Linked DNA regions of Oryzias latipes. The protein of the gene in region 3 interacts with the protein of the main gene of each other region in a biochemical or structural test. Links are inferred from orthologs where the notes say so. Each region holds a gene or a part of one and is shown on either strand. Other genes may lie near its edges. The genes, in order: beta-2 adrenergic receptor, pdgfrb and Na(+)/H(+) exchange regulatory cofactor NHE-RF1.

Region 1 (10,540 bases), on a different chromosome or scaffold from region 3:
GATCTGTTGAAATGTCAAACATTTTTATGGAAAAACAGTTGATTTTTTTGTATTGCGGCTTTAAAAATTCTAAAACCGGCCAACTGATGTTGCATCAGAACGTCCAGATAATTTAAATTCTGTTCGTTTACAACTAAAAAAAGGACATAAAAGAAAGTAAACAGTTGTGCAGGAGCAGGTAAACATGATTTGAATTGAAAGAAGTGATCTGAATTTTCTTAAAATAAAAATCTAATATCTGTAAACATTAATATGACAGTGGGGGAGTGATAAAGAGAATAAGAATGCGAGCATCCTACATTCACAAAGTTGATTTTATTTTTGACATTTCTTTGTCTACAATCCCAGCTTGGACAAGACAAAAAAACAACAACACACAAAGTATATTCTTCTTGCCAAAAGAAAAGAATCAAAATTGTTAAAAGCCATCATATGCTGATAGTTATAAGGGATCTGTCTCTGGTTTTAAACAGGCAGTGGAGGAATTCAATTCTCTACCCTTATAAAGCCAAAATGGGATATTGAAATGGAGGAAAGGAAAACACTGCAGAATAAATGGTTGTATTGAGCCAGTAAAGTACCTTATCTTCCACCAACAGCCGCCAAACATCTGAGGTCAAATTGCTGCATCTAAACCTATTACTAAAACTGCAAAATCCCAAACTTGTGACCTTTACGCTTGCCTCCTGGCATCGCTTCATTCATCTTTCAAAGTTTAAAATCTAAATAAGCATCTTCAAAGCCTTGAATGAACCTCCATCCATGCAGCACTTAAAGACTAAGGATGTACTGTTGTTACCACGACACCAATTTTACCCCTATTTTGTGAAGCAGTTGGGCCGTCATGCCTTCAAATCATTTCCTGAGACCTTACTGATTTTAGATTATTTTACTGTAGTCTTAAAAACACTTTTTGTACTGATGATTGAACAAACCAACGCAAATCATCTTCAGTGTTTCGAGCAGTTGATTTAAAACAAAAACATTTGAGTTTTATTAAAAAAACAAAAACAAAATTAATGCTAAGAGAATTGCTAACTAAAGTAGATAAACAAGTTTATAGTTGATTACTGTTCTTAAAGGATTTAAAACAGATTAGATATTGTTGATTACATCTTAAAACATTAAATATAGGCTTGAACTAAAATTGTGGGTGGACCACATCACAGTTACAGCTACTGAGTTACTGACTGATTTTGTTCAAGCCAACAATGATTCTAAATGTGTGGTTTAACAGTGTTAAGTTTGTCAAAATGTTTTTAAAAAAAAAGAGTTTCAACATGAATTTAACCGGATTTTTCTTTCAAAAGAGGCTTTATCAAATCTCAAAAATGAATAACTCCAATAATACTTTATGTGTTAACAGAAATGACTGAATGTCACCAGGATATCACTTTCATGCAAGGGAACTCGCAAATGCTTTCTTAGTTCTTCCTTTTCCTCTACTGAAAAAGAAAATCTAAAAAAACGAGATATGACTTTCCGATGTCAGCGGAGCCTCTAAATTTAATGCTTAAGTTTGATTTGGCTTTGTGGTCTGACACATTCGCACTTAAACTCAGTCTATCATACAGAGAGCTACCTGAAATGTCCTAGTCTGAAGGCATTTTTGGGTGTTTTTAAGAGAACACAAAGACTTGCCTTAAAAAGACAAAATGTTTCATGTTTCTTGGATTTATTCACAGCACTTTTGAAATAACATCTCAAAAGTGCAGTCTCAATATATTAATATTCAACCGTCGAAATTGTAGTAGTAGTCTGACTACTATGTGTAAGTTTATGTTCTTTTTATTCCTTAACATTAGACCACAAGTCTTTTTCTTAAATTCCACAGCTTACAAGTCTTTTTAATCTTTACTTTAAGGTGAATCAGAGTTGTACACAGCCAAAAACTGAATCTGAGGAAAGTAAAAAGCCTGAAAAACTGTCTTTATGTCTTGCAAGAATTTTTTTAAATTTGTTTTTGAACATTTCCTCCTACAACATATGTCTTAGTGACTATATTTTTTTATTAAAATGAGAACTTTTGGTAAGACACTTTTTATCACCCTATTGGCAAATATTTATGCTTATTTATAAAAACTCTGCTAATGGGGTAAGAATCTTTTACTTTTTTCTCAGAGACCTAGATTTGCAGAGTATTTTATTCCACACCTCTATTGTATTGTATTCTTTGTTTTTTTGTCAGAAAGTTCTCTTTTTGACAGAAAAAGGGGAACTATTTGACAGAAGTATGACATTATTAATTAATACAGAGGTGTAGTTAAAAAAAAGGACGAATGGAAACATTAGTTTTATCTTCCCCTTGTATCATTTAAATCACATACAGATGGTTTTCTCATATTTAAAGAATTTGAACTTCTCTCCATCTTCCTTTTAAAAGGACTACTCTGGGGAGATGACTGTACTGTACCACACGCTATAAGGGCAGCCATTAAAGACACATCAAAGGGACCATTACACACAACATGTACATAATTTATTTCAATAAAAATGTAACATACCACGCATACACTTGTTTTATTAATAAATACCACAGGGCACCACATTTCACAACAGGCTTCAAGACTTTAACAGTGACAACAACTTGTGCGAAAATAGCTTGCAAACATTTAGTAAACATTTCGGGGAGTGTTTCACTCCCACCATAAAAATGAAAGGTAACATGTGACAAGTTTGCTCTTTAATGTCTAATGATGAAATTTTGAACTTTATAGAAACATTGAAAAGATTTATATTGAAGCTTTGAGCAACATCCTGCCCTGAAATGAATTAAGTATGTTCTTTTTTTTTTTACTCATTTGTATGTTTTAGACCAGAAGGTTAATTAAACAAACCATTTTTTTTTAATTTTGTGAACTCAAAATGTTTTTCAGATTTTCTAAATCTCCTGAAAGTGCTATACAGTGCAAGTTTAGGTTCATTAAGATCATATTAACGTTTAATACGTCACCCAATTTGATACAGACACAAAACTATAAAATAACCTCTAAGACTCGCTTTTACTGTAACCCATAATTCTCCTTGGAGAGTACCTATTGTTTCAGAGTGCACAGAGCAGCATGTGCTCTGGAACAAGACATTGGAGAGAGAACTGAATGTGCACTGAAAGTCTGACATAAAACATCAGCTGTGCTTGGAATGGCAAAGTGCGTCAGCTCGATATTCAAAACGCACGTAGGTTTTCTTAAGCGCTGGAGAATGTGAAGGCTTACATTCTACAATTTACAGGGCTATTGATGAAACCTTTGTACGAACGTGTGGCGACTGAGGTGCAAAGAGAGTCTACTGCCAGGAGGGAGCAGTGTGGATGTGCAGTTCACAGCCAGATCACTTTGACAGAGAGGAGCATGCAGGTCCACCAACACAACACCAGACGTTAAAAGCAGACGTGCAAACACTTGCAGAGTGCTTGCAAAATTTACATTTTTTTATTTCAAACAAAAAGACTGGTGTGTTGGTAAATTAGTGCCTTTTTTTGTTTTGTTTTTTGAAGGAGATATGTACAAACTTGGTCTAATATCAGATTTGTGCTTTTGGCATGCTGTACAGTGGAAATGTTAAAATAAAAGTCTAAAAGAAACATTTCCTATGACATTCAACCTTGTACATTTACTTTGCTGTAAATCCGCAAAGAAGAAAAACAGAAAAAGATCAGCACACTGGAAAGCTTGTTTTTCACATGGCAAACATTGACGTATGATGACACTGTGTTTACGTCGACTCCTAAGGTCTGTGATAACAGCGCTCACCAAACCGTGCGATACAGTACATAAGAGGTTTCCTCTGGAGGAACAAAGTTCACAGCTTTGAAAGTGTCAGCAAATCTAACCCCGGTCAGAGGCGATGCTACATGCACAAAAATACAAGTCACTAACACAGATTTAGCCTGGCAGAGTCCCTGGTCCCCCTCCTGTCTTAGGAGCTACATTTAGTGTTCAGTCCCTTTGACAAGATCATACTTCTGCCAAACTCACTAAGGAAAGGTGCTGCAGCTACATCAACACTTTCCTTTACTCTTAATAGGCTTGCAATCGTGCCCTTTGTGCTAAGTGCTTATTGTCCACGATAGTCTTCCTTGAAGTTTTAAAGTGAATGACAAGAAAGAAAATCATTTTAGGTTGGTCCTCTGGATCCCTTTTATGATGATTCTTCAGCTAAACAGGAGATGTGTTTGTGTTTATTGGATCAGGGCTCAGCTGCCTTTTCTCCAGGCTGCACATTAAGGGGCATTTAAATAAGACTGACCAAAACTGACTGAAACGACTGAAGCCGAGGCACGTTTTTGCAGGCTCCCGTGTCTCTTGTCCAAATGGCACAATGATTACACACACAAGAAAAGAGATAGCCAGATAAAAACAATGAGTGTACTGAATACAAGCTTTGGATTTTTTCTTTTTTCTGTCTGGTTGCTGACTTCACCGTTATGGCTTGGTGCTAGAACTTTGTCATTTGGCTGCATTCACACCCTGTTTATGATTACGTGTTGTCTGTACCCTTGCACTATGAGGAAACAGCTTCTCTGGTTGCGGTAAACTGTGCACATACTGAAACATGGCAACTGCAAAATCTGATAAACAAACAAGGCTCATGCAGCTATGGGTCAACTATGGTTCAAATTTGTCGCACAGAAGAAAAAGAATCGTCGTTCTCACTGTTATTTGTAACAAAAAAGTGGTTTTAGATTTGCAACAAGTGGAAAATAGACATAGTTCAGGTATATGTAACAAGCCAAAAGAAATGTTTGAATTTATGAAAACGGTGAGCATTTCAGCCCAAGTTTTATATTATTGCACTTAGCGTTCCTCCCAAAAATTATAGGTATTTTACGGTTCGTTATCTGATAAAACAAGCTTTGATGTTTTATGATGGCATTAACCCAACAGCTACAGGCGTTCCTTAGGCTCAGCATTAGGATCTAGATTAGCCAGCCATATCTCTTGTGCTTTCTGCTGACAACATAAACTCCTTTAAACACAGTCTTGCACAGTAGAGCAGGACTGAGACGTGTTTTGCCTCACGCGTAGCCAATATAGCTCCCTGAAAAAAAGATTACAACTTAATAGATTCCTCAAGTGTTGTCGGAATGTAATTTTTGATGCAAAGACCAAGACTGGTTCAAAAATCCATTCTTTGCATTGGAAGAAAAATCGCATGGAAAATCTCAAATACAGTTTTATACCATACAAAAAACTGTGGCTTCCCTCCTCAAGAAAGAGCAAAAAATAAATAAAGCATGCCCTAAGGTTTTGGATGAAGCCTTATAATCTGCAAATGTACTATTCACACGCCATTTATTAGGCTCAACACACAGCTGAGACATCGCTCTCGTTTAACTCCAAAGGTAAGAATGTAAGCCGGTAAAGAAACTAACACTGTAAAGCCGTTAGGGAGGTAGATGTAGTCATCATGTAATAAAAAAAATACATTACAATATGTAGTCACTATGTTTAACTTAAAAAAAATGTTCCTCAGCTTGATGTGATCGTTGCAGGTTCTCTGAAACACTTTTGAAACACTGCCAGCCACTTTGACTGGCCTTACCTTAATCAGCGATTGAGAGAAAAGCCCTAAATGTTCATAAGTGTATAGGCTTTCATCTTTCTCTGTTGACTGAAGGGTCGGTGGTCCGTGCTTAAAGGGCAGTTGTGACAGTCGTTATACCTTTGTTGCAGTTTCCATTGGGGTCTATGGCTCTGTCCACACCACTGCCCACCCCTGCACCTTTTATCAGACAAGCCTCATTGGCATCACTGTCCTCCGAGTTGCACTTGCTCCTCCCTTGCTGCTCACTCTGCCAGCTGTGCCTGCTGTAGATGTATCCATTTGTTTGGCCTTGGTGGCTCAGATGGTTCCTCCTGATGCACAGGAGTTCCTTGAAAGCGTACCTGAACTCAGGACTCCGGCAGTAAATGACAGGGTTGAACATAGAGTTTGAATAGCCTATCCAGTTCAGAATCATAAATACGCTATAGTTGTTCACGTTCCATATGGACGCGATTACATTAAGGATGAAGAATGGTAGCCAGCAAAGAGTAAAGGTCCCCATTATGATACCCAAAGTTTTCAGGGCTTTGTGTTCACGCAAGTAAAACTTTGCCTTCTTTTGTCCACGGCCATTCTTGTCCTCCGAAGAATCTACATGAAAGCGTCCAACGCTTTGGTTAATCTTTTTTAGCTGCCTTTTGGCCGCCAGGAAAACACGGCTGTAGACAAAAACCATGATGATCAAAGGGATGTAGAAGGAGATGATGGAGGAGGTGATTCCATATTGTATGTTTGTGTGAAACTGGCAGCAGTCTGTTTTATTAAGACATTTCTCAGCTTCCGATGTATTGGATCTCCACACGTTCATATGAATGGGCGGGTAGGATGTCAAAGCAGCAATCACCCATATAAAGATGACCACAATTCGAGCTCTGCACTTTGTCAATAGTGACTGGTAGCGGAAGGGTGCAGTAATGGCCACGTAACGGTCAATAGCGATGACACAAAGGGTCCCGATGCTTGCAGTCACGCAGAGGACATCTGTGGCAGTCCAGAAGTCGCACCAGAATTTACCAAAGTGCCATTTAACGAAGATGATGTTTAAAGCACCAAAGGGAACCACAATGAGACCCATGACCAGGTCTGCACACGCCAGAGATGTGACGAAGCAGTTGGTGACAGTTTGGAGACGCTGAAAGCGAGCGATTGCTGTTATGACCAGGATGTTTCCAAAGACAATGCACAGCACCAGAAAAGACATTCCGATGCCCATCAGGATCATAGCCGTCTCACTGTGGCCTGTCTCGTTGAGGCCCATCTCGTTGTGGCCCGTCTCGTTGTTGGACAATGACGTAGTGCTCACATTCGAGTAGACTGGAGAGACTGTAACTCCCATCTGAAGAAATCACATGCAGAAAATCATCAGACACAGTAAAAAGAGGGGAAGTGCACAATTCAAACATGTATCTAACTTATGGGAACTAAATAAATGCAGCAATAATAAAGTTTAAAACATGAATGTTTGTATCTGAAACAAAAAAACAAGCAAAGCAACAAAAGATTAAAAAAAACACAGCAGAGGCACCAGCCATAACGACCTTTTTGGCTCCATGCTTTAAAAACAAGTTGAGTCAAGAAAGAGCAAAAATACCAACCTCGACAGGTCGTTGTTTTGCTCCCAGCCTCCCATAAAAATGTCAGAATGTCAGTGTTGAAATACTTCCTGTAAGACTGGCAAGGCTCACATGCCCCTGTACTTTTTGTTCGGGTTGAGCTCCAGTTGTCTCTCTACCAAGTCGTTCCGTTGAGCAGTGTTTCCTCTGATGTGTCTCAGAGTCCTTATAGCATGCAATGGTGACATCACAGTCAGAGCTCAGCCAATCAGCGCACTAGCCTGTGGAGGGTGCTGAGCGCTCACAGGAGTTTGAACACACTGTCCCAACAGCTGCTGCTGCAGGGCTGCATGAGACATACGGCAGCCAACACAGGCAAACATTTACATATTTAAAAAACCTGCAAATTTGTACTGAAATCTACGAGCTGTATTTCAGCTCGAGTCATAAAGTCTACTTCCTGTTATGCTATGTTCCTGTATGAGTTTACAGCTTCATGCTTGTGAATCTGTATCCAATTAAAACTAGTTAAAGCATTTTTTGAGCATTTGTAAGATCAGGCTGGATTCACAAGTGATCCAACTGGCAAGTGTAGCTCAGTGAATTTTGTCAAGATCTATTGAGTGGTTGGATTGGAGCTTTAACACACTTCTTGTCCTGACAAAACCTTTGAGTTTTGTAGGCTGCTCTTTTATATAAAAATCAGGACCTTCGCCAATACAAGAACATATGCTTACATTTTAACATCCAAAGGTCAAACTGTAAAAATGACCTCAGTGTTTTGGTACGTAAAAGGCGCAGTGATCTTCACAGCAAGAGCTAAAAGAAAGCCTTTGAGGATCAAGAACAAATTTGCACTTTTATGACCACATTTATTCCATACATGTGATCTATGCAAACTAAACCTCATTTATTCAAATTTCAACAATGCAATGATAGTTCTGCTTGGTTTGTGAATGCGTAAAAACACTTCACGGAAAGTCTTCAATGCTTATTGAATTCTTTTAAGTTAATATATCTCTTTTTAAAAATGATTCTGTAATAAAATGATCCAATACCCTCAATCCTAACCCTTTAACCTAATCTTTTGTGACACTTTTGTACTTCAGCCTTTTTTTAAAGTATTTTTTCTCGAAGGTGTATTAAATGTGCAAGTATCAATAAACGTGCACATTTTATTTATCCTTTTAGGTTACAGGTCTTAAAAGGTTTACAAACTACAGAAAAAGAAAACAACAAAGATTTTTGCAAATGTTTGAGACTGTTGTAATGTGTTTTTTACCGCTGATTTTTTGCTTAAAGATCACAAAGATTTTTGCTCAATTGCGCAAAATCTTGAATTGCATAATTTTCTTCTACGCACATTAGATAGATTAGAGCGTACGTGGTTTGGAAAAAATCCAAAGACAGTTCCACTCCTGAGATTAAATAGAGGATGCTTGACGTTTTTTGGATTATATACCTGCATTAACACCAACCATAGAAACCAAAACCTGGTGTTTCGTGGTGGATTTTCAAGGCATGACAAGATTAAAGATAAGAGATGCCATATGTCTGAGCCCTCATTTAGAAGAAATCCTTCATGGGAATACACTTTGACATTTATCAAGGTGTTTCATCTTTTTACAGTCACAAGGTGAACAATGAGATGACGTAAATGTGTGACCTAAATTACCATTGGCAAAGTGACCATTCTTATGGCATGGTCATCTTGCCTGTTTGTTAGTATATAGAAGAAATAAAGGAGCACTGTTATTTATTGGGTCAGGCTGAAATTCAGGCCATGTTCAGGATGCAAAACAAATCCACATTTGCACATCTCTTTCAACAAAATAAAAAAAATGTAGATCATTTGGTATTTTCAAAACTGCTTTTCTTTAAAGATTTGGTAAAAAAGGGCAACCTGCAGTTTTTTTGTTGATGTCATCATGAAATGAGTTATAACCATTGACTGTAAAAGAAAACTGCACCGGGCCAGTGTGACGTCATTCCTAGTAAATGGCTTACTTCGGCTCCAACCAAATGAAGTCACCATTTTTTTGCAAAACGAGACAACGTCAATAAGCAGCAATGGGTCCAAGTATGTCTGAATCATTGTTTCTATGGCAACCACTCTCATCAATCAGGACTAAACTTGCTGGAAGTCCAAAAGTAAACTTTGGGAGAATCTGTCAAACATTTTTAAATGTTCAATGTGGGGGCCAGAAGGCACTGCATACATTAATTGAAGCATCTGATTGGACAGTTTTTAACATGTACAACTTGCAATAAAGAAAAGGTTTCATGAAAAAAAAAACGGATTTGCAAAAATGTGTAAAAAAAAAGTTTTCAAAGAAAAATGATTATTTTGTCATATATAATAACTGTATGAAATCTGTTCATTTTGCAATAAAAGTCTGGAATTCTGGCTTCTTGAAACCAGTGGGTAATTCCTGTTTGGAAACTGAGGAGGGAGGAGTCTGATTTGAGCAGAGACCAGCTAGGGCAACATAAAGCAGAGGGATGAGAGCTGACTTGCTGTTCTCCATGTTGGCCACATGTTCAAAGGACTAAATAACTAAGCAGGTTTTCTTCCAATTGGACAATAGTTAGCAGCCTTATTTACATGGACTAAGTAAAGTGAGAGCTACTCTCCATCCACTGGAACAAAGGATAACCATTTAAAACTAATACAGCAATAGTATAGCTGCTCAAAAGTAGACGCTGCCTCAATGTAGTTGCCCTCAGATCTAACAAATATAAAATTCTTGCTAGCTGTGCAAACATTTTTAATTGATTAACTATAGCAACATTAATCTTTTATTGGCAAAGGCACCTTTTTTAATTTCCTAAAATTGCAGTCTTGCTTTAAACTAAGAGTTTAGATCATATGGGGAGGAGGATTATGGAGGAAGTAAGCATCTGAAAAGATCATAGATGACGCATGGTAAGGCCCCCTGGTCTTGCCTGCATGTTTTGAGTGTGTATGTGTCCATGGGCTTGAGTTTTATCTCCTGCAGGGGTCCAGCCAGCTTCTGCACAGCTGCTGACTCCACCCTCCTGCAGAGCTTATTGAGGCTGCCATTCTTCACCAATCGCCTGGCTGGGAGGGAAGCTTTAAAAGCTCCCAATAACCCCCTGCTCCAGTGGCAGCTGAAATCATGAGAGGATTTTTTTCTTCAGCCTGCCCCTGTTGTCTGCTTGGCCTTAGCCAGTGAAAGCCTCTGATTACCCTCTTAGTTTTATTCTGGCTTTGTCCTTTTGTCAAATTTAACCTAGTGGTCTTTGATTGCATTTTGAGTTTTGGAGACTGCATTTCTGTAAACGTTTACTTGCTTTACAGCCTAAAAGTTTAAGTCATTTCATCGCTTATTACGTCTTTGGTGTTTTGTTTGTTAGTTTCTTTGGTTTTTATGATGTGTCACCCGAATAAACGGCTGTGTGGCCAACTTTAACCTTGC
Region 2 (10,440 bases), on a different chromosome or scaffold from region 3:
AGGTCACTTGGCTGCGCACTCGACTCAGTTTTCGTGCCTGGCTGTAGCTCACATTGGTCTGGATGCTCAGCTCCTCTGAATGTGGGACCAGCGGCTGCCATGCTGATGTTTGGTTACTACACCTGCAGCAGAACACTGGATCAGCACTCAAATCACAACATCTGCAGCAGAGGAGAGCAAAGCTAAAGCTGATGCTCTGAATGTTGAATAAATGTGTGTGTTTAGTCAGCCCTCTAGTGTTGACACTGCAGCATCTCAGGAAGGAGGGGTGGCACTCACTTCAGCATGCTGTCACAGCTGTACCACTGTATGGTCGGAGTTGGGACCCCCTCTGCGGTGCAGGTCACCAAGTGTCTGTTCGCTGGCAGGTGGTGATCAGACAGATCTTTAATCTGAGAGGGAACTAAGACACACCAAGAAAAGTAGAATTAGATAAGCATTGCAGTAGTCAATAAAGGATAGTGAAGTAGACTAGACCCAGGAAATACATTTATACAAATTGTTTTTGCCAACTTTAAATCAGTTCATTTGTAAAGTGACAATTATCAATGGCGGCCTAAAGGGGCCAAATTACAATATATAAAAAAAGGGAAAAGAAAATATCTTGAGTTATCTTTGCTTGTTATAGTCCTAACATGTTTGAATCAGCCCAAATCAGACAAAATTGTTACAACTGGACTTTAGTTTTTATGTTTTAATCTAATATTTCACAACTGAAAAAATTACTAAAAAAAAAAAAAACAAGACAGATGGTTTTTGGACAAGTCTACCTACCATGTACTTCCAGGTCAAAGGCCACTTCCTTTGAGTCATCCCCATTTCTAATGAGGACAGTGTAGAGTCCTTTCTGCTCCATCCTCACCCTCACCAACGTGAGAATGGTGACGTACCTGATGCACAAGAGAATGAAACAGAATCTTAATTATTTTTACCTCCTTCTGATTACATGTAATTGAGCAACAAACATCTTAATAACATGAATTCTCTTTTTCTTAATCTTGTGTTGAAAATCTTGTCTTTTTAACTTTAAAAAAGTCAAATGAAGTTCTGATGGTGTAAATATGTGGTTAATAATTGAAAAGAATGCCAGATCTGTTACTCTGACAAAATCCAATAAGGTTCACTATGATGTTGGGCCATTTACTTGCTGTTTTGAATCTGTCTACTGAGGCCTGTGTTTGATGTTTCAGTTAGATCATTAGTTTTTTAACCTTTATTTTAAAAGTCTTTTCTTGTTTGGCATTTGTCTAGAAGTCCTTTGAGAGTTGTGACAGGCGTTTTGTGTTTATGGTTCATGTGCGTTGAAAGATGGAGTCCGGCCCTATGGAGGGAATTGTGTTTCTCTCTGTGGAGGCTTTGCATGGTGCTGACTGACATAAGCTGCACGCATCTACTGACTGAAAGACTCACAGGTCCTGTGCTAATTGCTTAAACAGAAACAACTCAAAGTGTTGGTCTGTGGATTTGTGGTGAATTTTTGAAACAGCTGATCATTCAAGCTGGACGATCTACCTGATCTCATTCACTTGTCTAATGGTGATGCTTTTGTCTCCTTTGATGGTGGCGCCATCTTTGGCCCACAGAATCTGAGGAGGCGGGTAGGCAGTGATTTCCACTCGCAGTTCGACATTCTCCTGTACTTTGGTGGAAATGTTTTTTGACTGAGCTGGCTTCACATCCACAAAACCTTTTTCTGGTAAGAGAAAAAAAATCTCATCAGCAACACAGCATATTTAGTGCAATCACACGTTAAAACTCACAATAAGAGTATGCATGAGACTTTCTTTGGCTTCTTAGGAGACAATGAATCCACTCTACTCGACCTGAAGTAACAAAAATATATTCATTTAAATTCTTTTGTCTGACCGAATTATGCATATTAAAGGAACTAGCAAAACATTTAGGCCCAGTTGTTTTAACCAGACAAATATTTGAGTTTGGTCTAATGTTTCTGAAGGCGTATATTTTTGAAACTTCATAAACAGACAGAGAAACTACAACATGTTTTGAAATAGTTCAATAAAGTTCATAACGTCTGTATCGATAACTAACATCTTAGGTTCTTCTTTTATCAGACACGGTTGTGTTTTTTTCACAAACCTCTAAGATGTCATATTTGGAAATAATTCAACAGCTTGGCAAATTTAGGGGACCTTCACACATCAATTTGCCATACATTTCTATTTGCTTTCATTTGTCAAACCAAAACTTGCAAGTCAAACAAAAAGTTTTCATCCTGGACAATTTTTATTGTTTGAAAAGTATTTTTGTGGCACTTTTTGTCCAGACAGCTTCCCCACTAAAAACGATTCTCTTCTGCTGTTGATATTGAACCTGCCAGGTTGGGTTAAAGGTTTCCTAAACATGACACACCTAACTGCAGACAGAGTAAGCATTCATGGTCCCAGTGAGGGTCAAGAGCCAGACCATGGAAGAGAAAAGCTCAAGCACAAGCAATTCTGCTTTTATTGGCTCCAAACGGGCTGTTTTTAAAATCGCTGACTTGCTGTGCGATTGTGTTTGAAGTTGAATCTCTTTTACACAAACACTCTTTCACTTGGGGGGGAAATAAATATATAGCTGCTGAGTTAAAGCTCTGTTTTTCAAAGTATCACCGTGTCGAAGGTTTATCCCACACTTTCTACGAAAATAAAGAACCTGACTTTAAGTTCCTTTAAATAGCTGTTCTCCCACCTCAACCTGCTATGGCTGATATAATAAACTGTCTCCTCTCAGCCACCATAATAATGTGCACATCATTGGTTTGTTTTAGTAGTGTGTGTGTCCTAACCAAAGACTGTGATGTCGATGCTGGCGCTGGCCTCCTGGTCTTGAACGAGTTCGTGAGCATGGCATACATAGGTTCCACTGTGCGCCACCGTGGTGCCAGGGAACATCAGGTAGGAGCGCATGGTTATGGATGACAGAAATTCAGTCAGGGGATCAACTTCCTCGAGCTAAAAGAGAAAAAAAAATCCATGTTTGCGCAGAGAATTGGCCTTATTAGATGGCAAATCTTTATGGAGTCATATCTTCATTTAGGAGTACCCCAAAAATCTAACAGAAGGCAGGTAACTTCTACTTTTCACCTAGCCTGAAGCATGATAATAGCAGGATCAATCTGCAAAATTTAGAAGACACTTGTACCTCTCTAATGAACACAATCACAAACAGATGTGGATGGCGCTAAAAATGTCTCAAAAAGTCAAACTGGAACTGAGCTGTGAGCTCAGTTTCACAAGACAATTGAATCTGGGGCGCGTCTCCACATCTTGATATAATTCTGGCTCAGCCATGAAGAATCACCAGGGGAGAAGCTGAACAAAACATGCTTGTTCTGCACCACTCCTACTCACCTCACCGCTGGGAGTATCCCAGGAAAAATTCACCAGTTCAACCCCGTGCACGGTGCAGTTTACAGTCAGAGGCTCTCCCTGCTTCAGGACCGTCTTTGAAGCGTTGACATAGGTTTCAAAGGTCTCTTGGACTGAGGAAAGTGCATTCAGTTATTCAGCTATGATAAGCCTTAAAAATAATGAACTACTTAGATTCCATGTCTGTGTAGGAGCTCAGGTGACCTTTACACTTACCAAAAATGCTGAAGACATGGAAGTCTTGAGAGTCTTTCACCTTGCCGTTCAGCTTGCCACGACAGAAATATGTCCTTGCCTCCAGGGGTGCTTTGAACCCCTCAGTGGGAACATACAGCCCGTTGATGGGCGAGTGAGAGCTTTTCTCATGCAGCGTGACGCTGATGTTTGGGTTGGTGACCATGCATGGGATGATGGTTTCCTCACTTTTGGGTACCATGCCGTGGTCACTCCTCACAAACCACACCTCAGGGTCTGAAGCATAAACACAAGCATGTTTATTAAATGTCCTACAACATGTTAATAGTGACTCAAAATCAGTTCATTCAAAGTTAAACAAGCCAAGCCCCACCTGCAACAAACACAGCCACCTCCTTGGTTTCCTTAGTGTGCCGATTAATGCACTGATACACCCCAGTGTGCTGCCAGCTCACTTTTAGCAGGGTGAGAACACTGGAGAACACGCCGCTATTTACACTCTGATAGCTTTGATGACTTTCTTGATCTTTCTCAACCTGAAAGTAGGGTACGTCGTCCTTCTTATACTCCCAGGTTGTCTCCATTAAGCCGGAGCACGTGAGCGTTAGCTCAGAGCCTTTAGCCAGGACGATCTCTTTTTCATCAGGTGTGACCTCCAGACAGCGCGCTCCAGAGCAGAAATACAGCCAGGCTGCAGTTTGCACAACAAAAGATGAAGAGGTCAAGGAGATGACAGCAGGAGGTCAGAGGTTAAATCAACAATGTGAGTCGAATCTTCTTCCATCTTAGAGCACGAGTTGTCTGCAGCAGATGAGTGGGAGGATAAGGATGCAGTGTTGCTGATGGATGTGTTCAGAATGACATAGGTCAGTTTGAAGTTGGTCCTTACTTCAAAGAAGTGCCCAATCTTCAAGTTAACAAAAAAAATATGATTTTGTTTCAGAAGGGTTTAAATTATTTCTTCTACTCTAAATAAAATGTTAATTCAAATTTTTTAGTTCTACAAACCTTTTAGTTGAAGGTTTGCACATTTAATGAAAACATAAATTGTGAGCAATTGTATGGTCCAGATTATAATACAAATAGGTTATACATGTGTCAGAGGTCAGAGCTCTGTCTCCCCCTCTGGTCACCGGCGGGAACCGTCTCCAGGGTTCTAATGTACTTCATCTCCCAGCAACACCACTACACAGTTTCTGGATGCCACACAGCTGACTTTTTCTTTTGCAAATCACTCACAGTATTCTTAAGCACTGTACTGAGCCTCATTCAGTGCGAAGTATTGTTGTCTTCATCACTGAGGGTTGTTTCCATATCTGACCCTGATTTAGCTTTGTGGACTTTTAGCTGAGCTAATAAAGCTGCTGCAATTGACAGCAGGTTTATTAGCTCAGCCATCTACCTGTTTTGTGACATGTGAACATACACATGAATTAAAGATTGCCTCACAAACGCCACACAAAAAGAGTCGATGTTAATGTTTATCTCACCTGTAAATATAACTGTCAGCTGGCGTGTGGTCAGCCGCCTCATAGTGAACGCCTTTGAACCCATGTGTCCTGTAAAAAAGGACAAAACCCAGTGTTTCCTTTTTAATTTACCCAACAAACACCAATTGCAAAATCTGAAACATACTTTATAAATTCCATCCATCTATTTTCTGAATCCCATCCGGGGTCACTGGGACCCAACCCAGCTGCTTTACAATAATTAATATTTTATTATTTAAAAAAAAAACCTTGTCAGATTTTGTATTGCACGTATGTTAAAACCAAAGCAACATGTTTGTAATCAAAAGGCGTGAAAGAAAATGACACTCTGCTGATGGAAATACCACCATAAAATCAGAACTGAAGCTGTTCTTTTCATGGCTCTTGGCTGGCAGACAGAATCAGAGGTGCAGTTCACTGTGAAGGTGTTTGACGCTTCACTGCACCAGCACAGAGCAACAATGTCTGTCTCTTTTTGTTTCTGGTTCGCCAACACTCTGCCCACAAACAAACGGGTCACTGTGTGCAGCTTTGCAGTGCGCTCACTGCTAACAATGCTGCGTCCAAGCTATTCTAGAGTCTTGCTGAGCCATTAATTGGTTTCGTGGTAAACAAAAGTGAAAATCGGGACATTCACCTAATCCTCTGCCAGCAAGAGTGCTTTTGCAACTCTGAATTGTTTCTTTTTAATACCTTTAGGATAACTTTTTCTCTGACGTCAAAGCCGCAACAGAGTTTGGCATCAATAGAGGTTAAAGTTGAGCAAAAATCCCCATTGTCTCATCAATACTTCAAACCTTTATGCTGCAGATTTGCTGGAAAAGCCAAAAAAAAAAAAGGCAAACAAGGGGAGTGGTGGTGGTGGGGTTGTTGTTATGTTTTAGATGGGGTTAAGGCCTTCAGCGCACAGACGTCTGGAAACAGTTAAGGATGGATCACAGGCCTGAACGCAAGAGGGTGGGAAATAAAAAGAGGGCGGAAGAGCATGTCTTGGGAAGCGCGAGGGTGGAGGAGGAAGAGAGGGAGTGAGTAGTGGAAAAATTGTGAAACGTGTTGAGAAATTTCACCTAGAATTTTTTGGGGGGAGATTGTATGTCAGTTTAACTGCCTCTATTTTGGGACATTTCGCTATTTTGAGGCGTTTTGTAAACATGTTCTGAAGTTTTGTTTCCCCCTTTCTGTGACAATAAATCTCTTCAAACTTTCTCCATCTGTTATAAATATCTGCTTGCAGATCTGATAAGATGAGTTTGGAAATTTTTCTAATGAACCCAAATCTTTATGTTGTTACACTAACTTAGCAGCCTTTGGTACTTCCGCTCCCACAACGAAAGCTCAAAGCTCTCAAGCTGCTCCAAAAACATGACTGGCTCATTTCCTTTTTTGACTCCTGGTTTCAATAAAGAGGTGAAGACACAGATAGATGGAGAACAAGAAAGTAAGCAGGAAAAGTTAACTCACACACACGTGCACTTAAATGCAAAGTGTGTAGAGACACATGTTACATTTACAGCCCTCGCTTCTTCAAACACACAAAAAGAAACAGAACGACCTCCTTTCCCCCCTTTCTGTCACTGGTGACTGTGTACAGTTCACGTTCCCACAGTTTTCCTCTGAAACTTTCCCAGGACCACGGATACACTTGGGAAACTGCTGGTGACGGAGGCAGAAGCGGTGGGGTTACTCCATCCCTGGGGGCCTGAGCAGCAAACGACAAGGGCCCGTCGACTCAGGAAGACATACATCAGCACACAGCTGAATCCGGTAAGAGTCAGCGATGAAGACTTGGAGCATCAGACGAAGTGACACCAAAGCATGTGTCGTCTTTCAGCTTGAAAGCCGACAAATCATGTTTTTACTGGCTGCTCTGAAAACAGGCCAAAGTGCGGCGGTAAGGGCTACTGCAGGATGTGTATCTAAGATTAGACAGCCTCAAACAGTAAAAAAAAAGCATATCATGGATGGGGGGAAAAATATTTTGTTACTGAAATATGATAAGGGTTCATGTTGACCAAGGAGGAGTAAGGGACTATGAATAGATTTCTTCTAAAAGGGCAATCTTGCACTAAAATTGTGCATGTTTTTAAAGTCAAACTCCAGTCATTGTTTGATCTATTCTAAAAGTGTCCCCAGTGGTATTTTAATTTTGATTATGTCATTTTCGGCCAAAATTGAAAAAAAATCTGTGTTGTTTACTAGGACATAGCTTCTGTGGAGCAGCAGGAGTTCATCAGCAATTCACCTCTGAAGTTGTACGCCCACCCCATTTCCCGTCATCCATCTGTTTTCAAGCTCTCCCCTTATCTTACAACCCCTGACAACCCAAATCTAACATTACTGGTGCTACAAAAATGGGGAGCAATATTGGAACTATCCAGCTGTAAAGATTTTAGCCAGATACCAGCTCAGACGTGGAAAATTAAGATATGCATGGATTTGGTTTTCTACAAGTAGCTTCTACGTCACCGCTGCTAGCTTTTTCCAAAAGACAAAAGTCTGCACCTAATTCACAAGAATTTGAATAAAGAAATAAGCAGAAATGGAAATTTGAGATTCATTTTCTTTATTTATGTCCTCCATCATGAAGAAAATGCTACAAGAATATGTTTAAAACTCCAAAAACTCTATTTTCTTTGGAGTGGATCTTTGGGCACAGAACAAAATTGTATAAGTTTCTAAACCAAATAGAAACCTTTACAAAAAAAAACCACTGAAACAACTATCTAAAATAGCCCTTTTCAATAAAAAAAGACTAAAATATTTGGTTAACTAGTAAAAATGATTTGGGACCCCTGTCAGATTTACTGTAAAAACCCATCCCACAGTTTGTATAAATGAAGTGACTCACCTCACAATTGCAAAGAGCCTTAACAAATCTCAAAAGCATTTCTCCAACCAAGATGTTTATTGTTTTCTTTTCTGTCTCTGAAACAGGGACCTGCATTGCCCCTGTAATCTCAGAGGTCTGAGAGAAACAAACAGCGTTTATGTCAGTGATGGCACAGTAATCGCACTGCCGGATAAACTGTTATCACTCCGCATGAGGTTTCCCGTAGATGCTGGGAATCTGGTGGCTGACTGACCCTTCCCGCTCTCCGTAAACATCCCTGCTACGCTCAAAGTGTCACCCGCTAATGAGGAAGAATGCTAAAGTCGACCTCGGCGGGGTGCACGCGGCCCACACTCTGCCTCAGGATGCAGCTCGAGTGTGTAATCCCACTCCTGGGATTATCTGCATATAGTCTGTCTGTTTTACCAACATCTGGCAGTGATAAAGCAGAACTCGATAAAGTGGGAACTGATTTATGAGTCACATTTCAAACTAATTGTTTTCTTGAGTGTACCGGGGCAAAGAGAAAAGAGAGAAGGAGTGGGAGGAGAAAAGAAATCTATTATAGAAAGAGAAAAGTCTCCAAGTGCAGCTGGAGAGGATTCACTTCCTGCATGGGGGAATTTTCTGGCCCTGTGTGAGTGTGATGCATCCCTGACACAACGGACCAAGACAACCACTAACCAAACCTTTATGCAAAAAGAAAAAAAGAAAAACTGCATAGAAACTCTTACAAAGACGGACAAAAACATCTCCAGATAACAAGCTGCACAGAAACGATGTAAACTTCGAGTCAGACGTGATGAAGAATAAGAACTCAGCATCAAAACAAAACCTGTAATTATATGGTAAAATAAAGGCCAATCAGAGCAATTCTCCAAAGAAGGGGGGGAAAACTAAACAGTGTAAAGCATGGAATATACTTTAATGGAAATACCACATCAAAGTGTGGTGTGAGACACGGGTCCAGAGTCAGTCTGACAGTTATGTTTACTCCATGAAAACATCAGGAAGCTGAGCTCTGCAAAACAAACATCTGTAATTCAGCGGTCACTTCTTTCCAAGCACTTAAAGGCCAACACAGGGCTGATTCTGACCTCGTCTCCTCTTCATCCGGCATTTTTAAAAAGATGGAATTTGTTGACAGGATCCCATCTCTTTGGATTTCAGTGTTTAGAGGAATGACAGGTCTTTATGATGTGTCTCAGAACAGCAGGAGCTTGGCGAGCTCTGTGGGAAAAAAATGACCCAGAGTGTCTCTGCTAAAACAAACCTCCTTTTTTATCACTCATTTTGAAGTCAGCATCCCCCCCAAGAGGAAAAAACCTTCTGGCTCCTCAGCAGCTGAGCGATCACGCACTGTTCCCACTCCAAAGCTACAGTGCCAACAAAGTCTACAAACAGGATAAAGTCATTTGCATCAGTGCTGCCCCAAAGAATGACTCTCCTAAGGTCCAAGAAAAACTACAACCACGTCCATGTCTCATGTAAAATAAGGGAATGTGTGCGAGTCTGCTGAAAAAACATTAGAAGTCTGTGGTGAGAAGTCTTTAAAAGCAGCCAAAGCAATTTTACAAAACTCTGTTTGATGAAAGTGGAAACATTAGAGAGTTCCAATAATAATTCTTTATATTATCTTTCTGAAAATTGGAGCAAAAATGCAGTAAATAAAAATTAATTTTATTTATCTCTTGCTAATTAGAAAGTGCAGAAATGTTTATGAATTCTTCTTTTAAGTTGTTCATTTATATTGGATCATCTGTATTTTATTATTGTGCTTCTTGCATTTTTAAGATTCCTTATGTCATGTGCTGGTTTTTCTTTGTTTTGTTTTTTTCTTACTCACAATTGCAATGTGCACCGCTGCTTTTAGAACCAGCCACAATTTAACTGCTGCTGGCAATTACGTTAAAGTATATTCTATTCTATTCTATTCTATTCTATTCTATTCTATTCTATTCTATTCTATTCTATTCTATTCTATTCTACTTTATTCTTGTCAGAACAATCAGAAATATTTCAATTTAAAACAGCTGTTCAGTTGTAATCTCATTAACCAGTTTACTGTTTGGAAAATATTTGATGTTGTCTTTTATCAATTTTATCTTTAGATTACCTGAGAGAGGGGAAAAACGCTCATATAATATGTTTTATCAGTTCTTGGGAGGTTTTTTCTTGTTATGTGACCTTTCTTATACCATGTTGCCCTGATATTTATAAGGGCAACATGGTACTAGAAAGGTCACATATGATGATATGATATTTACAAGGGAAACAAACTTTTTTTTTACTGCTCATTCTTCTATCAATTTGTGTTTTTTTACATGTCTATTAGTCCAAGGAAGTTTTCTTCTAATGTACTACTGGTTTACAGGAATAAAGCTGTGTATTTATTCCAGGGAGTGGTCCATTATAAAACTTAAACTGCTGTGTTAATATGGTCAGGACTGTAAAATCTTTTGACTGGTGAGTAATATTAAATGAAGTGTTTTTGCTTTTCAGTAAAAACATTTGCTCTTGATAAACTGGCACCAACTCGTGTTATATTTGA
Region 3 (10,440 bases):
CCTCCTGCCCCGCGTTCTTCATGGATGTCAGGCTTCACGGCTACTGGAGAGGTGACAAAGTGTCTGCAGTCTGCTAATTACTGGGCAATATAGCATATTTTGAGAAGATGTCTGTACCAGAGAGCACAGGTGAAACCCCCGTGCAGCTCCAGAGCGGTCCGCTGCAGAAGAATCAACACACACCCCCAACACACGTGCGCGCACCTTCCTCCTATACCTACACAAGACGCTCCGCGCTCACACACACAGTCAATCTACAACTCCTATAGTTAGTTCACCAGTTAGATATGTAGTTGTTAGTTGTTGCTGTTGTTTGTTGATAAAGACTAGTACGTTGTAATTGTATTTATTTCCGATGCGGCCGCCGGGGGATGTTGTGTGGGGTTTTTTTTTTGGCGGGGGGGGGGGGGGGGGGATGGGGGCTGCGGTTAACCGCGACACCGCGCCCCCTGGTGGTTTATCACCGCGGTGATGAAAAATTCGACACCGTCGCAGCTCTACTTTCCACCTTTATCCACCTTTGTCATGGTAGGGAGAACACGTCAATGGAAGGGGGGGGTCATCTAAAATAGCACAAGGGTTAATTAAAAAACCCCACCAAAAAAAAGTGCAATTAAAGATGTTATGATACGTTGGATAATTCTACCCACAGTAATGTTAGTTTAAGTTTGCAAAAATATTGACACGCGTGTTTGGATAAAGAGCAGCTTATTTACCCACCGTCTCACATTTAGTGAAGACATTTTTAACATGCTGTAACTGGATTATAAAGAATTCAATTTTGCAATCACAAAAAGCTGTCAAAAACTGAAAATAAAGTCCCACTGATATTTTAAAGAAGTCCAAATTTTTCGAGGATAAAATCGTCAATGTCAGAATTTTGAAAGTAAAAAGTTTTGCTTTTTCCAAAATGAAAGTTGTACATTTACAAAAAAACAGATTCAGCGAGGTGTGATGTCATCCAGTTTTTTGGAATTCTCTGCAGCTTAAATGAAACCTGTAATAATTATTCAAACAAAAGCTCAATGTAACTATTTGTTTTATTTAATTTTTAGTATCAATTGTAAATTGTTGATTTTTTTTCTTAAAACTGTACAACTTCATTTTCATTTGCTTTGTTTTTCCATCTTCTCTTATGTTGGCTCTAATAATCCATTTCATTCTTATAAAACAGCAAGCAGTCAGTTTAAAAAAGAATAACAATAAATCAACCTAACAAAACATTAGCTAAACTTTAGCTAAAAACAAGTGTTTTTGTTTTTAATTTCATGGAAGCAGACATTTTGAAATGAGCAGGAAAAGACCTTCTACTGCCTCTGGTGGACCGATGATGAACTGCACGGCTAAAAACAAGTTTGGGCCGTGCCAATGAGACACGGGACTCAAAAATGTGTGGAGCAAATAAAAAAGAATGGTTATATAGGGTTAAAATAGGCACTCTTGTGCTGTCTTGTGGGGTCCAGATGACCCCCCCCCCCTTCCAGTGACGTGTTTTCCCTACCATGACAAAGGTGGATAAAGGTGGAAAGATTTCATGTAATCCATGGACACCAGTGAAGATCACAAATCATTGAAGAGAAAAGGTTCAGAGCACTGTCTAGTGGGTCTAGATGACCCAACTCCCTAGGAGGCACGTTAACATTGGGAGTGGGGTCATCTAGACCCCACAAGACAGCAGAAGGGTTAGGATTATTTCGGTGAGTATGCCTGAGTTTCCTGTCATTACCAGAGAAGGACCAATAACTGTGTGTCCTTGACAGGATTTCTGCTCCGCTGACACCAAACCGGCTAGACGAGCTGTGCCGAGCATGAGCTCGTGGAATTTTCTGCATCAGTCTGGAGTGCAGCGCGTGTCGCACTCGCACGTCTGCGACTCTAAAACCAGCTGCAGCCGTTTGTCTGAGGTGCGTCGCGTCACGCACAGAGGAGGAACGCAGTGACGACCGTCAGAGTCCCGTCTGCATGAAGATCTAAAGCACATGAGTCAAACTCAAGGCCCGGGGGCCACAGGTGGCCCGCCATGTTATTTTATGTGGCCAACAAGAGCAAAAAAAGTTTTTAATTTATTGAAATGATTTTTTTCTTTAGTTGATTACATATTATTTATGTGTAGCTGCTGTTGTGATTATTCAATGTTTGCAGGTCTTATGTGTGTCTGCAGACACCTTTTTTTGTTAAATGTAATACTTGTTCTTTCTAGCTCAGTTTTATGTTAATATTCTTTATTCACTTAGACAGTTTGAAACCTTTATTTATGCAGTTATGTGGGTTTTAAAAAGGGGACAAAATGTAAAAGGATTTATGCTAAAGTAACAAGCAAACATGTTTCTATGCAACTGGAATTGTCACTTTAAAAAGTTATAGTAAATAAATAATGAGTTATTTAACATTATGGAGTAGATGCATTACATTTAGTTACATGTATAAGTTATATCTGGCCCTTTGAGGACAGCCGCTATGCTGATGTGGCCCCCAGTGAAAATGAGTTGGACCCCCCCCCTGGTCTAAAGGCTCCTGCAGCTGGGGGAGACTCACATGTGGCTTTTTGACGACAGAGCGAAGTAAAAACTGGAGAGTCTGACTTTACAAATATGATCAAGAATATGATTAGACTGACCTTGAACTATTTTCCAATAAAATACATGAATAAAGTATTGAAATAGTATTGAAGAAAACATGTTTTTAGTTGAAATTAAATGTTTCTACAGATTAAAAAGGCAGGAGTTAAAGTGTTGTCCTTTTTATTTTGTGTAGTTGTGTTGGTGATGCTCTGACCTGCAGAACGATAGAATTTCCTTTTGAATCAATTAGGAAAATCTATCAATCATATAAATGGTAGAATCTAAATGACCAGAAACTTTTAAAAACAATATCATCATTGTAAAGGAAAATGTGTGTGGAGCAAATACAAAAAGAATGGTTATATAGGGTTAAAATATGCACTTTTGGCCCGTCTTGTGGGGTCCAGATGACCCCCCCCCTTCCATTGAGGTGTTCTCCCTACCATGACAAAGGTGGATAAAGGTGGAAAGATTTCATGTAATCCATGGACACCAGTGAGGTTCACAAATCATTGAAGAAAAAAGGTTCAGAGCACTGTCTAGTGGGTCTAGATGACCCAACTCCCAATGTTAATGTGGAGGCATGTTAACGCTGGGAGTGGGGTCATCTTGACCCTACAAGACAGCACAAGGGTTAAAGGAGTTTTAGGAGAACTCTGAAGAAGATGTTTTGGTCAAAAACAACCTTAAATAGGTTTTATTGGTGGAAGGATCGCAGTCCCTAAAACTGGAGCTCCCTGGAGTTTCCTGAAGTTCCCACAGCGGTGACCGAGCCCCCATTTGACTAAGAACGTTGGGAATGCTGGTGAAGTCCAGCAGGGGGCAGCAGATCCTGCTCTAATCAGCCCCCTCAAAGCAGCGTGGACTCTAGTCTGACCCCGGAGGCCCCCACAGACCTGTGCTGTCCTCATGGACAAGCTGCTCCGCTGAAGGTCCACTGGGACAGTCAAACAAAGACAATCATGAAACCCCCGCAGGAGTGGGGGCCGCTCTGCCACTGTGGTTCAGTGACCCCGCCTGCATGTGAAAGTATGAGAACGGCCTTCATTAGCAGCTCATTAACATAATCCCTGAATCAAAGCTGCAGCAATCGCATCATCCTCCAGGACACACTGCTCTGAAAGAGTGTGTGTGTGTGTGTGTGTGTGTGTGTGTGTGTGTGTGTGTGTGTGTGTGTGTGTGTGTGTGTGTGTGTGTGTGTGTGTGTGTGTGTGTGTGTGTGTGTGTGTGTGTGTGTGTGGGGGTTTCTATGGTGAGGGGTCAGCTGACAGTTCACTGGCTGCTTGTTTGCCCCTCAGCCTTTGTGCAGGTTCCCCTTCAGAGGAGCATTGCTCACATTTGGTGCAGGAGGAGACGTCTTTCAGTGAAAGGAGGAGATCCAAGAACTGCCTTCAAAATGCAGCTGAGGTGAACATTCATCTGTGGACATCACGTTTCCAACATGTCTCATGTCCAGACAGCCCGAGAGAGCTTAAAGCGTTCAGCAAACAGGCACTTGCTTTGGCGCTCTGTTGGCACTAGAGGGCAGCACTCAAAGCATGCAATGCTTTTGTGTTTGCTACAAACTGAGATGACACGGTGGTAAAAGTCGTATTAAAGTCTCATTTTTGCAATCAGATCAGTTTTTCCTAATGACTCCAGCCTCCCGTCTAAGCCCCTCCCCCTTCTGCAGGGCTTGACAAACTCATCTTTTCTGAAAGCTGCAAAACTGCTAATGAATGCAGCAACAGATTCAAAGTCAAAAAGCAGATTTAAAGCAGCTAAACGTCAGTTTAGTTTGGCTTAGTAAAGTTATAGTTCAAACAATCAGCATCCTGCTTCTCTGTTCACGTCTCTTTGTGCATGCATGTTTTTGCAGGAGCATGTATTTAAGGGCGTTTGTTCATGCCTGTGTTTGTGCATGTGTGTACTTGTGTGTGTTTGTGCATGTGGACATGAGTTTTTCACGTATTTGTTTATGAACGTATTTTTGCACAAGTGTTTTTATGCCTGTGTGTGTGTTGGTGTGTGTGTGCGTTTGCACACGTTTTTGTTCATTCACGCGCTTTAGGCACAAGTGCGCATTTGTGTGTGCGTGTGTGCGTGCGTGTATTCACCTCCTCCTCTGATTCTCTCCTGGACTCTGCTTCCGGAAGCGCTCCTGCAGGAGAAGAGGAAACATGGCGGCTTGAGTCGAGTCTCCCCGTCGCCGAGGTCTTTTCTCAGATCTTCTGCTCACCCGTGACGTGCTCCTCGGTGGGCGTGACGTTGCACTTCTTGAAGAACTCTTCTGTTTCCGCGTCGACCACCAGCAGCCGGGTCTCGTCTCCTCCGGCTTTGATGGCGGCCACCACCTCGGAGTGCTGCATCCCCGCCACCGGCACGCCGTTCACCTGCAGACGGAGCAGCGGTTAAACTCTGTCAAATAAAAGAGGACTAGGGGAATCTGAAAAAGCTGTTTTATCTAAAGAAATCATTCTTTTCTACCATTTTAGAAGAGTTTGAACCAAAAAAAATATATAATCATTCAGTCATTGCACAGAAACACAGCAGGCGGAGAAGTGGGAGTTAAACCGCTGCACAGGTTTGGATTCTCCTCACTTGAACCCTGTTTGGAAGTTCAAACCAACAACTCAGGATCTGCAGCAAGTCCCAATAAAAGAGGTTTTCCCTTAAGCCCCACAGATCCAGTAGTAAACCTGTAAACTCCGGTGGAACCAGATTACCACCTTCATCACAGCGGCAGTGCTGCGACAGCACCACGGTGTCACGCCTGGGACAGCTCCCCGTAATGTTTAACCCGCTCACCATAAATGATTAAGAGCAGATGAATGAACAAACCCTAAAAAAGGAACCATTATCAGAAAATGATCCAGTAATTTTTCCAGCAAGAGGAGGCTGCTGTGCTGATAACGTGTGACATGTTTTAACACAGCTGAGTCATGAGAGCACCGCACAAACGTGCACACGGGCTGACACGGGCTTGTTCCTTCACCTGAACTTTGAACCAGGGCGTGGGGGGGGGGGGGGTCCTGAGGCCGCGACCCCAATCAGTAATTCATAGGATGCAGATGGAATCAGAGAGGAGACTTTTGCAATAATCAGGCTTTGTTTCCTAAAACAACAATAATAATAATTCCATCTCTCTGCTTTAGGCCTCAGTCACACACCCATGCAGGCCTGCTGCCGTTCTCTTTTTGGGTTGTTCGGGTCTGTTCAGGGTCACAGAGAGGAGCCGCTACATCTTGAAGGGAGCGCAGGTGTGTCTTGCAGTTCCCATGAGGCTCGTACGGCCACCTGAAGATGGAACGTACCATTGTCGTGCGTGTGGTAAATATATATGGTGAGGATAATGTAAGTTGCACGCACTTATGACAGACGGATGAGGCTGTCGCACGGAGCCCTGATGCTCCAGCCATCAGCACTGGCTCCTTGCTGAGCGTGCACAAATGCTGCACGCACGGGGTGTGCACGTGACACGCACGTGACACGCACGTGCCCATCGGACGCCTGTAGGATGTCCACACAAACTACAGCGATAGTCAGAGGTGCCGGACTGTCATCTCATGTCAGATAACGACAGTTTTAGGAAAAACAACTTTATCCTGGAGACTCTGGACATGAACTTGAGACTGAAAACTGAAGCAGACGTTCAGAAATCAGACATCTTGACGTTTTTCCATCAGTGTGTTGCAGAACTTAGAGGGTTTCATGGACGCTTCCTCCTTGTTTAGCTGTGCAGTAGATTCAGCTTCACAGTTTCAAGCACAAAGCTGCTCTTTTCATTATTGACCATAGATGAGTTTTAGAAAGTTTGATAAAGTGGTGGTTTGAGGTTTCCCTAGATTCAAATTGACCAATGGATGACTGACATGAACGAACGGGTTTATTGTCCTGAGGTCCATGCGTTTGAACCTGGCAGGTGGTCAAGTCTCTGCTCTCTGGATACACGAGGCTCAAAGAAAACCCCAAAAATCTGCACAGGACACCAGACTTTGAACACACCCGGTATGCACGACGGCTCCTGAACGCAGCGTTCTGGGTTTCTGGATTAATGCGTCTGAATTAGCGACCCAAAGGAAAGACGAGCCGTCATGGAGACGCCACCTGCTTTGTAGAAAGTATAAAGTATAGAACGACGGCACGTTTTCACATGAACTCAGCTTCAAAAACAGCCGTCCATCATTCGTGCTGTAAAAGGAGATGATGCTGATCATCATTTCTGGAACATTTTCATGAATATTTTCTCATGAATTAATTCTTAAAGTTTGAGAACGATGTTCCATCTGCTTCAGCGTTCAAATGTGACGCACAGGTCAACGTAGAACCATCACAAGTTAGAGCAGTTACGTGGCATTTACAAAATAGAAGCAAGCTCTGAATTCAGAATCCTGAAAAAATACCCCCCACCCCCACCCACTGCTTTTAAAACCATGCCTTTATTCTGATCAAGAGCTGGTGAGAAAATTACTGATTTAGTCTCAAAAGTTGTAAATTCTTTGCATTGAACAGACTTGATGGAGACTCGCCCACATTGTCCAGTTTATGACAACATGAATGCATGGAGTAACAGGAAAAGGAGACGATTCCTTGGCTGGACACCGACTTATCCTCTACTGACCAGAACGCTCTGATGTGGCGAGAAGCTCCTGAAAAAAAACTGCAGAAGAACTGAAGTTCAGCGATTCATTTCCCATCGCAGCAGAGGTCCGTTCCTGCCCCTCAATCTGGGAGGGATTACCAAGCAAGAACGAATCAAGCATCAGAGGAGATAAGATCCTGAGGAATTCCATGGGAGGAGGTGGGAACACAGTCAGGAGCAGCAGCTCCCACTCAACCCGGGACATCTGAACTCCCTGCACCGCTTTGTGTGCACGGCTGACCGCAGCCTGTGAGGCGCTCTGCTAACCTGGATGATCTTATCCAGCGGCCGGAGGCCGGCTCGCTGTGCGGGGGAGTGGTCATCCACGGCCCGGATGAACTGGCCCGGCCTGGACTTCTCGCTGTGCAGGTTGAAGCCGTAGCCGCTCTGGCCCTTCTTCATGTGGCAGAGGCGGGGCCGCAGTCCGTCCGGCTCGTCCTGCACACAGGCACACATGACAGGGATCAGTCAGACCTGACGGTCTTTAACCGGCCGCGTCTTTTCACCGGACAAAGTGTTGCTGAAAGCAAATTCAATTCAATTCAATTTTATTTGTATAGCCCAAAATCACAACAACAGTCGTCTCGATGGGCTTCGAAGTAAAACATGAACTTAAAAGGATCACAAATACAAAGAGTTCAATAGGAAAATACTAAAATGAACTAACAAACTGACTAAGCTATACTGGCATCCCTGCCCTTAGACCCCCCTTCTCTGTAAGGAAAAACTCCCAAAAAAACTGGATTCCGGAAAAAACGAAGAACCCTCAGGGGTGTCCACATGAAGGAGGGATCCTCCCCCAGGACGGACAGGCGATTTACCAGAAATCTTAGAGAAGAATTAACTTATCTAAATCTACAACTACATATATAAAAGTCCAGCAGACGAGCTTCATCCAGATGTGGTTATCGGGACAGTCAAAGGCGCGAGTCGAGCCGGAGACAGGAACCACAGCCAGGTGTAGGAGCAGGAGCAGAGACGAGGTAAACGGTCAGGAACTGGAGCACGGATGAGCCAACAGCAAACAGCAGAAGCACTTGGTCAGACATCACAGGGGAATTTCGATCCACACAGCTCCTGCAGGGAAAACACTCCAGCTCTTGGAATTCATGTCCCGACAAGCAAAAGCTGGTTTGGAGAATTTCCAGCAGCTTTCCGCGTCAGTCAATCCTGGAAATTCTCCAGTCTGCAAAACGTTCAAGTGGATCGGCTGGATTACAAAAGAATTACATAAAAGAATCTGAGGCTATTGCTCAACATGATTTGAATGGAGCTAAGCGTCTAAACCTCAAACACACTTTCTTTGAATCTGACACTAAAGGTCACTGCGATTGCGAGTGAGGGAAGTCTGGGCATCTTTGCTTAGACTGCTGCCCCTGTGACCCGGATAAGCAGAGGAAACTGGATGGATGTCAATTGCACAAACGTATGATGTACGGGTGATGCTGTCGTCAGGTGTACTTCCACAGTCACACTCTAGTCCAGGGGTGGCGAACACGCCGCTGTCGAGCCGCATGCGGCTCTTGGCCAATGAGCGTGCGGCTCTTTGCGTCTCATCATATTTGCCTCATTTCATAGTTTTTCCCTCTTAAAACACACTGAAACCACCAGAGGGTATTAAAAATAAATAACTATCAAAGTAATTTGGCAGTGTGTGTGTTTTGCTCCTGACACAGACGTGAACGCCAATCATTTGCGCGGGTTACGCCCAATGCCGGAACACATAGATAAAGATTTGATGTGCGTGCAGATCGTTACCCTCATGGTCAAAATGGTGAAATTCAGAGTATAGAGATGAACACAGGACGTTTCTGGAAGAACGGGAAGACTTTTACTGAACAGAATGACGTCATGATGTTTATCATTATGAGCTTCTGGAAGCGGTAAAATAGTTTAATGCCAGTTTAATGGTAACTTAGTACTTGTTTGCTTACTATGTTGAAGAATGAACTGAGTCATTGCAATGTATTAACATCTAATAAATTATTTGCTTTTGATGCAAAAAGTCAGTTATTCAATTTTAAATAAAAAAAACAAAAGCAAGATATTCTAATGAAGGTCAAAGTTACTTTATGCTGCACATAATTGAAATGTAATGTATTTAATGTGTTGATTGTGAATCTGAATGACTCAGACACCAGAAGGATGCTCTGTCCAGATGTTTGTGTATTTGTTGGTGTAAGGGTCATTGAAAGAGGAATGTTGAGATACAAAAAATTACTAGTTAAATGCTGATGGATGTTGAAATATTCAGTTTTTATCATCATAAATCTGACATCAGAGGAGTCGGTGCCTCACCAGCATCAACCTCACTGCACGTCACTGAGTAGTTGTGTGTGTCAGAGAGAGGAAAAGAAAAGAGTGAGATAGTGTGTGTAGGTGTGTGTGTGAGATGAGAGAGGGGTGCCTGTGTGTGTGGAGGGGGTATCTGACCTCCAGGGTAGTAAGGTGCGAGTACTGGCTCCATACCAACGGCGAACAAAGCAGCAGCCATCAGACTGTACAACACCGTGTTACAGTGACACACTACGGTCCCGCGGGTGTTTTTTCAGTCACTCATTTATTGATTTTCTTTTGTTGTAGTTGTTGTTTTTCAATTTTCAATAGTTTTTTGTTCCTGAACAGTTGTTTGTTTTTGGTGTGAACTTCATTTCTCATTTCTGTATTAGAAAAAAAAAGAAAGAAAAGTTTTTACATGTTTTTTACAGTTGACCACATGTTTTTTTACACTTTTGCAGCTGTATTTATTTATTATTTATTTATTTAATGAGAATCTCATTTTTGATGATAATTTTCACAATAATTTTAATAATAATTTTTAATGATTTAATATAAATGTCATTTGTGATGTCCTTTTTTGATGTTATATTATACAGATTATTTCTGAATGTCATTTTTTCTGCCACAGATAAATGAAATTTCCCCGTTGTGGGATTAATAAAGTCATCTATCTATCTATCAAATGCGAGCGGGACCTTGCTGTTGACATCATTGGCTAGCAGCTGAAATTTTACAATGGACCTTAAATCTACCCCCCCCCCCCCCCCCCGTTTGAGGAGAAAAGCAACCTCAGAAATAAGGAGCTCTGGATATTGTAAACGTGTTTATTACATAATTCTGACCAGAGTGGTCTTATATAATTCAGTCAATCATTTGTGTTCAGTTTGGTTTAGTAAACACTGAAACCTCCTTCACAGTGAAGTTAAGCATTACTGCTAAGGGCTCCTTCAGGACGCAGAAGCAGACAGTTTAGCACCT

Evidence for each region.
Region 1: the proteins of Na(+)/H(+) exchange regulatory cofactor NHE-RF1 (region 3) and beta-2 adrenergic receptor form a complex in vitro, tested with the Homo sapiens proteins (3 studies listed by BioGRID and IntAct, with this or other methods). The link is inferred for Oryzias latipes from reciprocal best matches to the Homo sapiens genes NHERF1 and ADRB2.
Region 2: the proteins of Na(+)/H(+) exchange regulatory cofactor NHE-RF1 (region 3) and pdgfrb form a complex in vitro, tested with the Homo sapiens proteins (2 studies listed by BioGRID and IntAct, with this or other methods). The link is inferred for Oryzias latipes from reciprocal best matches to the Homo sapiens genes NHERF1 and PDGFRB.

Annotation. Positions count from the first base shown.
Region 1 is NC_019868.2:20,751,562-20,762,101, reverse strand, and holds beta-2 adrenergic receptor, read right to left. Parts: upstream 7,316-10,540; 5' UTR 7,143-7,315; intron 6,884-7,142; coding exon 5,636-6,883; 3' UTR 2,458-5,635; downstream 1-2,457. UniProt on the Homo sapiens protein: Beta-adrenergic receptors mediate the catecholamine-induced activation of adenylate cyclase through the action of G proteins. The beta-2-adrenergic receptor binds epinephrine with an approximately 30-fold greater affinity than it does norepinephrine.
Region 2 is NC_019868.2:16,263,010-16,273,449, reverse strand, and holds part of pdgfrb (platelet-derived growth factor receptor beta), read right to left. Parts: intron 5,129-10,440; 5' UTR 5,124-5,128; coding exon 5,060-5,123; intron 4,261-5,059; coding exon 3,943-4,260; intron 3,846-3,942; coding exon 3,591-3,845; intron 3,488-3,590; coding exon 3,357-3,487; intron 2,958-3,356; coding exon 2,792-2,957; intron 1,694-2,791; coding exon 1,513-1,693; intron 891-1,512; coding exon 775-890; intron 404-774; coding exon 280-403; intron 123-279; coding exon 1-122. UniProt on the Homo sapiens protein: Tyrosine-protein kinase that acts as a cell-surface receptor for homodimeric PDGFB and PDGFD and for heterodimers formed by PDGFA and PDGFB, and plays an essential role in the regulation of embryonic development, cell proliferation, survival, differentiation, chemotaxis and migration.
Region 3 is NC_019877.2:24,306,710-24,317,149, forward strand, and holds part of Na(+)/H(+) exchange regulatory cofactor NHE-RF1, read right to left. Parts: intron 7,621-10,440; coding exon 7,450-7,620; intron 4,934-7,449; coding exon 4,780-4,933; intron 4,702-4,779; coding exon 4,658-4,701; intron 1-4,657. UniProt on the Homo sapiens protein: Scaffold protein that connects plasma membrane proteins with members of the ezrin/moesin/radixin family and thereby helps to link them to the actin cytoskeleton and to regulate their surface expression. Necessary for recycling of internalized ADRB2.